Linked DNA regions of Saccharomyces cerevisiae S288C. The protein of the gene in region 2 purifies or fractionates together with the protein of the main gene of each other region. This does not show direct contact. Each region holds a gene or a part of one and is shown on either strand. Other genes may lie near its edges. The genes, in order: ERG26 and MCM7.

The links.
Region 1: the proteins of MCM7 (region 2) and ERG26 purify together in Saccharomyces cerevisiae (affinity purification with mass spectrometry, with the first as the bait; 2 studies listed by BioGRID). This does not show direct contact.

What each region holds. Positions count from the first base shown.
Region 1 is NC_001139.9:494,641-498,373, forward strand, and holds ERG26 (sterol-4-alpha-carboxylate 3-dehydrogenase (decarboxylating)), read right to left. Parts: upstream 1,863-3,733; coding exon 813-1,862; downstream 1-812. Other genes in the region: ERP6 (Erp6p), read left to right, coding at 1-527; EFM5 (protein-lysine N-methyltransferase), read right to left, coding at 2,493-2,725, 2,819-3,297, 3,360-3,394. UniProt on the Saccharomyces cerevisiae protein: Sterol-4-alpha-carboxylate 3-dehydrogenase; part of the third module of ergosterol biosynthesis pathway that includes the late steps of the pathway.
Region 2 is NC_001134.8:624,173-629,135, reverse strand, and holds MCM7 (DNA replication licensing factor MCM7), read right to left. Parts: upstream 3,365-4,963; coding exon 827-3,364; downstream 1-826. Other genes in the region: MIN7 (Min7p), read left to right, coding at 4,440-4,643; DER1 (derlin), read right to left, coding at 4,925-4,963. UniProt on the Saccharomyces cerevisiae protein: Acts as a component of the MCM2-7 complex (MCM complex) which is the putative replicative helicase essential for 'once per cell cycle' DNA replication initiation and elongation in eukaryotic cells.

The DNA.
Region 1 (3,733 bases), on a different chromosome or scaffold from region 2:
TAAAAGGTTCTTACAATTTGGAAGTTTACGATGATAAGTTGGCAGATTATGCGCTTCCCAGTTATAATGACTATGGCATTGTCATAGATGTGGAAGAAGTCTTTGATAATAATCATAGGGTAGTCCACCAACAGGGCTCTCCTTCCGGTGACTTCAGCTTTCTAGCTTTGGAATCTGGAGAATATAAGATCTGTTTACAGTCTAGGGTAAATAACTGGGTAGGGAAAACCAAAACAAAGTTAGAAATCGAATTTGAAGTCGGTTTTGAAGCAATGTTGGACATGCAAAGAAAAGAAACCTTGGAAAGTTTGCACGGAAAAGTCAGTATATTGAATTCTAAGATCGTGGATATCAGGAGAGAGCAACAACTGATGAGAGAACGTGAAGAATCCTTTAGAGACATATCAGAGTCTGTGAATTCTCGCGCAATGTGGTGGACGGTAACTCAAGTTACTCTTCTCATTATAATTTGTGTATGGCAAATGAAAAGTTTACGCTCGTTTTTTGTTAAGCAGAAAGTATTATGACCGTACATATCAAAAAATTGAATCCTTAGCAGGCATACATGAGAATTTCGTTGTTTCAATGATTTATTTCTATTTATTTACATGCATTACCCCGACGCTTCATAGTGTAGTCATTAAATGAGTGTATACATATATATACTAACCTAGTCATCAAGATGTTTTAGGTGTTTCAATTCTTATTATTCATCTATAAAGACAGAATAAATATATACGGTGCGTATCAGATATGCTATTTCAACATACTATCTTTCGATAATCGGATCAAAAAGCTCCTAACGATTGCCATTACAAACCTTCGTCCATCCAGGCCAACGTTTTGTTAATTCCTTCTTCAATACCAACTCTTGGTGTGTAGCCTAGCAACTTTTTGGCCTTAGCAATGTTGTGATAACGGTATGCACACACAATCTTGACTCTGAATGGAGTCAAACCTGGCTCTTTACCCAGCATCTTGGATACCCATTCTGAAAGATAACCTGCACAAATTGCAACTGGCCTTTTCAAAACAATAACATGTTTATCAATATGACCATCTGCCTTCCACACAGTACGGGCCAAGGCCCAAAAATAGGTGGGGGTATCATTGGTAATGAAAAAAGTTTCACCCGAGACAGCAGTTCTTGTTTTTGGATCGAGAAGTTTCTGTGCAGCTAACACATGCGCGTCAGCAACATTTCCAGCATAAGTCCAATCAAATAGATTGTTATTATCACCAATTTGGAACTTCGACTGCCCCAATTTCGCAACCTGTCTTAGACCAGGTACTAATTGCCTATCACCTGGGCCAAAAATACCAGCTGGACGAAGAGCAACAGTATAGAAATCACTGCTTGGATCATTCGCCTTCAAGACCATATCTTCGGCGATAGCTTTAGTCTCATTGTACGCATCCATAGGAACTTCTGGGATTGGCCAGGTTTCGTCTGCATTGTGCACATCTTGCCCATTAAAAATAACACCAGCAGAGGAAGTATATACAAGTATATTAACGCCACATTTCTTGCACATATCTATCACGTTACGGGTTCCCTTAACATTCACTATGTCATAAATATCTGGATTTTGACCATGCATTGGAGAAGCACAATGAACAACAACATTTGCTTTACTTTCGTTAATTGCGTTTTCCATATCATCAGGTGATGTTAAATCACCCTTATGAAATTTTATGTCGTCTACATTAAAAGTAAACTGTTTTGAAAGTTTTTCAGGGAGATCTCTAACATCAAAAATGTGGATGTCTGGCTTAGGATTAATATCAAAAAATTGCTGAATTAAGTGCAATCCAAGAAAACCAGAACCACCGATAATTAAAACTGAATCTATCTTTGACATATTTATTTTTGTTTGCCCTTCCAGGTAGAGTTGCAAATAAAATTGGACAAAATTGACAATCTATATTGTTGTCTATTCTATTTTATAGCTGCAGCATAATCTTTTCCTTGCAGGCTTATATGAGATTTTTAAACGATACCATTTCTCGAGAGAACAATAAACGATCTATAGGGACTATCGGACCGAGAAATATAAAATCCACAAACACCGACAATAAAATAGCCTCTAAAAAAAAAAAAAGGTCCTGGAGAAAGCAATATTCATACCGCATTAACTTTCATTGAACCGAAGATCTACAAATATCCTTTCCTTGCATTATAATTATCCAATACTTTGTCGTCAATATTCTTTCAAAGAAAGAAAAAATATGAAATCAAAATTAAACATTTTTCTGTAATTTCCGTAATACAAAAAACTATTTTCTTTTCGGAAGGCAAAAACAAAAATTATAATAAAAATAAAAATATGTATAATATAATTTTTATCTTCTAACTTTTTATTTATTGAATTTTTATATAGTAAATATAACACGTGATATATTTGAAATGTGATTATATTATATATATTGATGTTTACATATTTTTTATGTAGTACAATTAATTTTCAAATTTATCGAAGCTCTTAAAAAGCTCAAGAAGCAAATTTCCATGAACTACATTCAAAATTTGCGTAGCACCTAAATTCGTTACTCAAACCATTAGAATGTTCAGGAAGAAAAGTTGTTATTCTTGTGTCAGAATAAACTTTGGATATGACTTCAGACATTCTTTCACCAGTACAACTTATGAGGCGGTGCTTAAAAACTCCTTTCTTAGTTTTAGAGTTGTCATTTGGCGCTAATAAACACTTTGCAGTGATAGAGGCTATTTTATATCAATGAATAACAGTTAGTAAGATGAAAAGATACTGGAAAAAAGATTAAAAAATGAGTAGGGATATGTTTATGATATACATACACTTTGTTTGACAATCTTCATTTAAAAAAGGTGGGTCAATTAACAATCTATCAACTTTTCCTTTAATTTCATCACTGAAGTCCAGTGGTTTATTGTAATCATAAAAAAAGAAATGATCTCTTCCAGCTAACAACTCGAATCTCTTATCAAATTCGAACAAGTAGATATGTTCGGTTGGAATTTCATTAGTAGGTTTCTTTTGAATGGCAGCATAGACGGATGGCGCACTAACTATTGCAATTACAGTGTTTTCGTCCGCACCTTCCAATATGGCATCTGCTAAAATTGCGGCTGTGTCATCGCTGTACCAAAACTGGGAAAGCTGCCAATCTTCCTTGAAAAGCTTCATCCCTTCTTCTTTTTTTTTCTTTTGGAAGTCTTCATCCGTTTCGTCGTAAAGCTTTTGAAAGGCTTCTTGATGTTGTTGTTCCTCTCTTTTGAATTCTTCAAGGGCAGCGAGGGCATTAGCAGAAAGTGTCCTATTAAGTTTCGTGTTAGTTAGTAATTCTACGTTACTGTGTTGAAAATATCCTGTACTTACAATTCATAATCGGAGTCGGAGTCGGAGTCGGACATTTTATCAGTGATTCTTTCGGTTTCATTAAGATGTAAAGTGACTGATTAGTATATTAGTCAAGATTAATATTTTTTTTTTTAGTTCCTCCAGTTCAAAAAAATTTTGTTAGATTTAACCGGCATAAGGTTCAGCGATACAGACGAAAAAAGAAGCCTCTAAATGAATGGGAAATTATATATACATGTATATTATGCAGTTGATATTCTATGAGATGACAATACTAAACTATATACCTATATACATTGCCCATCTTGGATTTTGCTGCCTTACAGATGACAATATAAGTTATTTAGAGATTGAGGGTTACTAGTGCATAATATTTGCGTGATTTCCGAAAG
Region 2 (4,963 bases):
TTTCTTTCTCCTTTTCCCCTCTTGCTTCGAGTGTCTATATAGTTCCTCCCCGCAAATATTCTTCAGCTAAAAATACTATCGTCCGGGATTTTCAAGAATAAAAAAATATCTTCAAATATAATCTAGTAAACGGAATAAAATAGGACTACCGTACTGAGCGGACAGGTTTGTAAAGGTTATATTAGTTTGAGAGTGGGACTATATATATATAGACTATATAAATATATATATATATATACTTATATTTTTGACAGTAGGGATGGAGATCGATGAATGTTGCCTTCACATGTTAATGAATGAAAAAAATTTTACTGTCTGCGGGTCCCCTAAAAGTCCTCTTGGCGATAACAGAATGGGTGCCGGCAGGTATCTCAAATTCGGATTATTATCAAGCGCTACGAATTATTCTGAGAACAATCTTTTCATTTTCTGGAAGAACTCCGCACGGTGTACTCTCTGGTATACTCAGGGGCTGACGGTACCCTGTAGCACGGCTCTCCACAGGCACATCTGAGCAATACTAGCTGGCCCTATTCCGCTTGAAGATAATTTTCCTTTCTCCGCAAAAAAAAAAAAACAAGAATTGGGCCGCGGTGCACGGACATGCGCAGTCATAATGTTAAGTCCGAAATGTGTGGGGTCTGTGGCTGGCAAAAGCGATGAATAATATTAGTAAAATTATAATAATACAGAATACATATCTTGAAAACTGGGCCTTGGAAGTAAGTTACAGAAGGTAAATTTGAATGTGCAGCTATATGGAAATGAAAAAAAGGGGGAAAAAGAATAAAGAATGAAGGCCCTGTTGCTTTTTTTTTTAGAACTTTCAAGCGTCTTGTAGATCGATATCAGAATCTTGGGCGCTCACATTAGCGGAAGCGGTCGTTTGTGGTGCGAGTTTAGGCGTGCTCACTAGTGAGTCTTCCTGGTCTGTGTCCATGGTACCGTCATCCACGAATTTCAAAGTGTTACCCTCATTAATTAAATGCCAGACGTTTAAGTAAGAATATTCTTGGATACAGTTGCTTAATTGTAGCATGGTAAACCCTCTTAGTCTTACAGTTTTCACAATATTTTCATATGATAGCGTGTTTTTACCAGTTTCTTGTAACATTTTCTTGATGATCGTAAAGATTTTCGTTGTGGGGCTTTCATCTTCTTTAGATTTGTTGGTTTCTTGATACAATGATTCCTTGGAGACTCGGACCAACCTCAAGGCTTCCTCCACATCATCTATATCCACCATATCAGCCAACCTTAACTTTGCTAGCGCTTGAGATAATCTTATAATACCTAGTAAAGTTCTCGGAGTGGCTTGACCAAAGGAAAATTTGGAATCCATTTCTCTCTTGGAGTCTTGTCTTAATCTGATGTAAGCTTGCACCACATAATCGTTTACAGCTTCACTCATCACTGGCCTCTTTGTCTTAGCATAGGCAATGTACTCTCTCATTTTAGAGGGTTCTACTGGAGTGAAGTCCAAATCCGGTTGTTTATTATGCATATGCACATATGTAACGTGCTCGGCTAATTTTTCGTCGTCATCTCTACTTGGTATATCTAACATTAAGAAGAGAATATCAAATCTGGATAGTAAAGCAGCTGGTAGATTTATATTGTCCAGAGGTGATAATCTAGGATTATATCTACCATACAACGGATTTGCTGCCGCTAAGATTGAGGTTCTGGCGTTCAAAGTTGTATTGATACCCGCCTTGGATATCGAAATTGTTTGTTGTTCCATAACTTCATGGATTGCCGTTCTGTCACTTTCATCCATCTTATCAAATTCATCGATACAACAAATACCGTTATCAGCGAGTACTAAGGCACCACCTTCTAGAATCATTTCATCCGTGACAGGATCTTTCATGACGGCAGCGGTCAGACCAACGCCTGAGGAACCCTTACCAGTGGTATACACTCCTCGAGGTGATATTTTGCAAATGGCCTTCAGCAGTTGAGATTTGGCAACACCGGGATCACCCATCAGACAAACATTGATATCACCTCTGATTTTCATACCGTCACCTACCCTTTTATCAACACCTCCGACAAGTAATAGCAGCAACGCTTTCTTTACGTCCAAGTTACCGTAGATTTCCGGTGCAATAGATTTTGCCAGCCTATTATAAACATCACCAGAGGTGATTAATTCCATAACTCTCTCTTCTACATCAGAAGTCAGACTGAAAGACGCAAATTTCTTCTTGTGTTGACGGACAAACTGTGCCTCTAAATAAGTTTCTGTCAGTAAGCCAGCTTTCAAAGCTTTGAAACCGGTGTAGGGCGCTGGCAAGAATATACCAGTTACATCGACGATATCACCAGGCGATAAAGATCTTACCAGCGTCCCGTTAACGTGGATATTTAGCGACCTAGGAATATGACCCACTGGCACTTGTTGTGATAACTCCTGAATTTTACATTCCTGAAAGGCACTAAATTTGGAAGCTCGTGTACTCATAAACAATTGACCCTTTGTTTGATTTTGGGAACATTCTTCGGAAGTACATTCTGACAACGGAGTAAAAGTACGAGAGTTGACCTCTTGGAAAACTTCGTACCCACATTGATCGCAGGTATATGCGATAACTTCCACAGCTGGTTTGACATCAGAAACTCTGGTGATAATACCTCTGACGGTAATCAATTGGCCTAGGAAGTCACCTTTAATCTGCCTAACAGATAATGGTTTAGAACTAATTGCTTTCTTCCTGTAACGACGAGCACAATTTTGCGATAGAGGCTTAAAATAAAGGAAATAGCGTCTAGTTAAATTAGGAGGAAATAACTCAGTTTCATCCTCGACAACTTCTCTTAACGCATCATTCATGGAAGAGGGTGGATCCATCGTGGTATCCATGAGGTTTTCGCTTCGGATCTCATTGGTCCTGTCCGAGAGCATTCTCTCATTCCTCAGTCTCCTTTGGTTTAAAATAACATCAAGAACGTCGTCCTTGTAGTCAATTTCTTTTGTTGGTAGCGGCATGTTGTTGTCAATGGCACGGCAAAATAATTCAGTGAAGTGATTAGCGTTTTGTTGAATGGCAGACACAAGGTCGTCTGCCTGTGTGCCCTGGAGAAACTTTTCGTTTTGATACTGTAGAATGTCATCTAAATCAATAATCACGGAATTCAGTTCCCTATTAGCCACTTTCTGTAGCATCGCCATGTACTTGGGCCCCTTTTCCAATAGATGTTGTTCGATATTCTCAGCATCCAAATTTTCATCTTCGTTCTCATTTCGTGTTGCATCAGAAGACAACGTATCCTGCTTGAAAGTCACCAAAAAATCGGTGATTTCATTAAAAAGATTATTATAGTCGACAGGAAGCTGAATTGATGGAAGTGCCGCACTCATAATCTGGTCTATCTGTATTGAGTTCTTCCTGCAAGATTCAAGCTAATCTAGGTAGTGATTATATTGCCTTTCTAAATGTAAGTTATTGGTAAAGACGTGTATGTAGCCTGCTACTGTAGTACATCTCGCTCTGGTCCTTTGCTTGTATCTCACTTTCGTGAAAAAAGAAGCAAACCGACTTAATGAATTGCATTTATTTTCCTTATAAGGAAATTTCCTTTCTGGGTAAATTAGTTAAGAAAAATTTTTTCGAGGCCGTGAAAAACGCGAAGGCTTATACAATGTATTATGAGTGAGTAATAAGTAGCATTCAAGGGTAGAAGGGGCCTCGACCTGTTATTGAGAAAATATACAAGAAGCGCTTATTATATTCGAGTAGCGGCTACGTTGACCTAGCAGGTATCCCGTGGGTAATAGTTTAAGTTATGACATTCACACCACTTTAGAATTTACTTACTCTTTTACCCTCTCTGTCTCTCGTAGGGTACATTTCTTTGTGCTTCTATTCTGTTGCTCTCAGACAAATTTGGAAGTTTTACAGTAAATTATTTTTACTCTTTTCCTTGTCGTCGTAATCAGTGAGGTATCCTGCCTGGTACCTTCCCCTCATTTTTGTACGAAGTATAAACAAAAGCACGGAAAAGGGGAAGCTAAGGAAAGTGAACACCTGTGCTTCGCATTGTTTGCTGCGATTAAAAAAGGTAATACAAAGGCAACTTTAAGCTTTTGTACCGTATCGGCCTATCATAATAGAGAGCCCGCGCACTTCCTAAGAAAGGCAGTTCGTTGCAACTCTCCGGTGGTTTCTTCGCCACTGCAAGGAAGACAATAGCTCGAGAAGGTCATTATTGTTGGAAATATGTTAATTACCATAGCAACAGCAAAATATTCCTAATTCTCAGAGTTATATAAGCAGGGTATATAATAGGCCATCTGCAAACGGACACCAAGTTTTTTTTCTTCTTTCCTCTCCTCTCCTCTCTTTTATATTCCACATTTATTCCCTGTGACAAGGCGAAAACCAAGAATTTTTTTGTAATATATAGGAAATATCACAAAAGATCGAGGACTAACAATGCTGGCCATGAAATCATTTTCACAAGTTTCTAAATCATACAAGGCAAGTGCTCCCAGTAAAAAGCTGACGACGTTGTTTTATGTTGCTTACATCACTCTGGGACTAACAACACCTTTCCTTCTACCGGCCCGAATGGCTTCTAAAGACACACACTACTACAAGGACGAATTTTGTTCTCAACGATCATACACCAGGTTTTAGAGTCTTTCGAAAATATGGGTTATCATTAGGGAGAAAATTACCGAGACTTTTTCGGCTACTTATTTATTCTGCATTTATACATTTGAGACAGGTTCTTCATATTATTTTTAGTTTGTGGGATTGCAGTTTTAACTGTACTGTTTTCACATCTTTCATTCATTCTAGTCAACGTTTCATTTATCCTTGGCCTATTTTATATGTAGTTATTTATGCTAAGTATGTTTGTTTATCAAGCGTTCACTTTTGTTATTGGTTTTTGGTAAATAAAAACGGCCTTTCCTTTAGGGTGTTTCAGTGTTGCGGAACCAGTCGTACGGAGA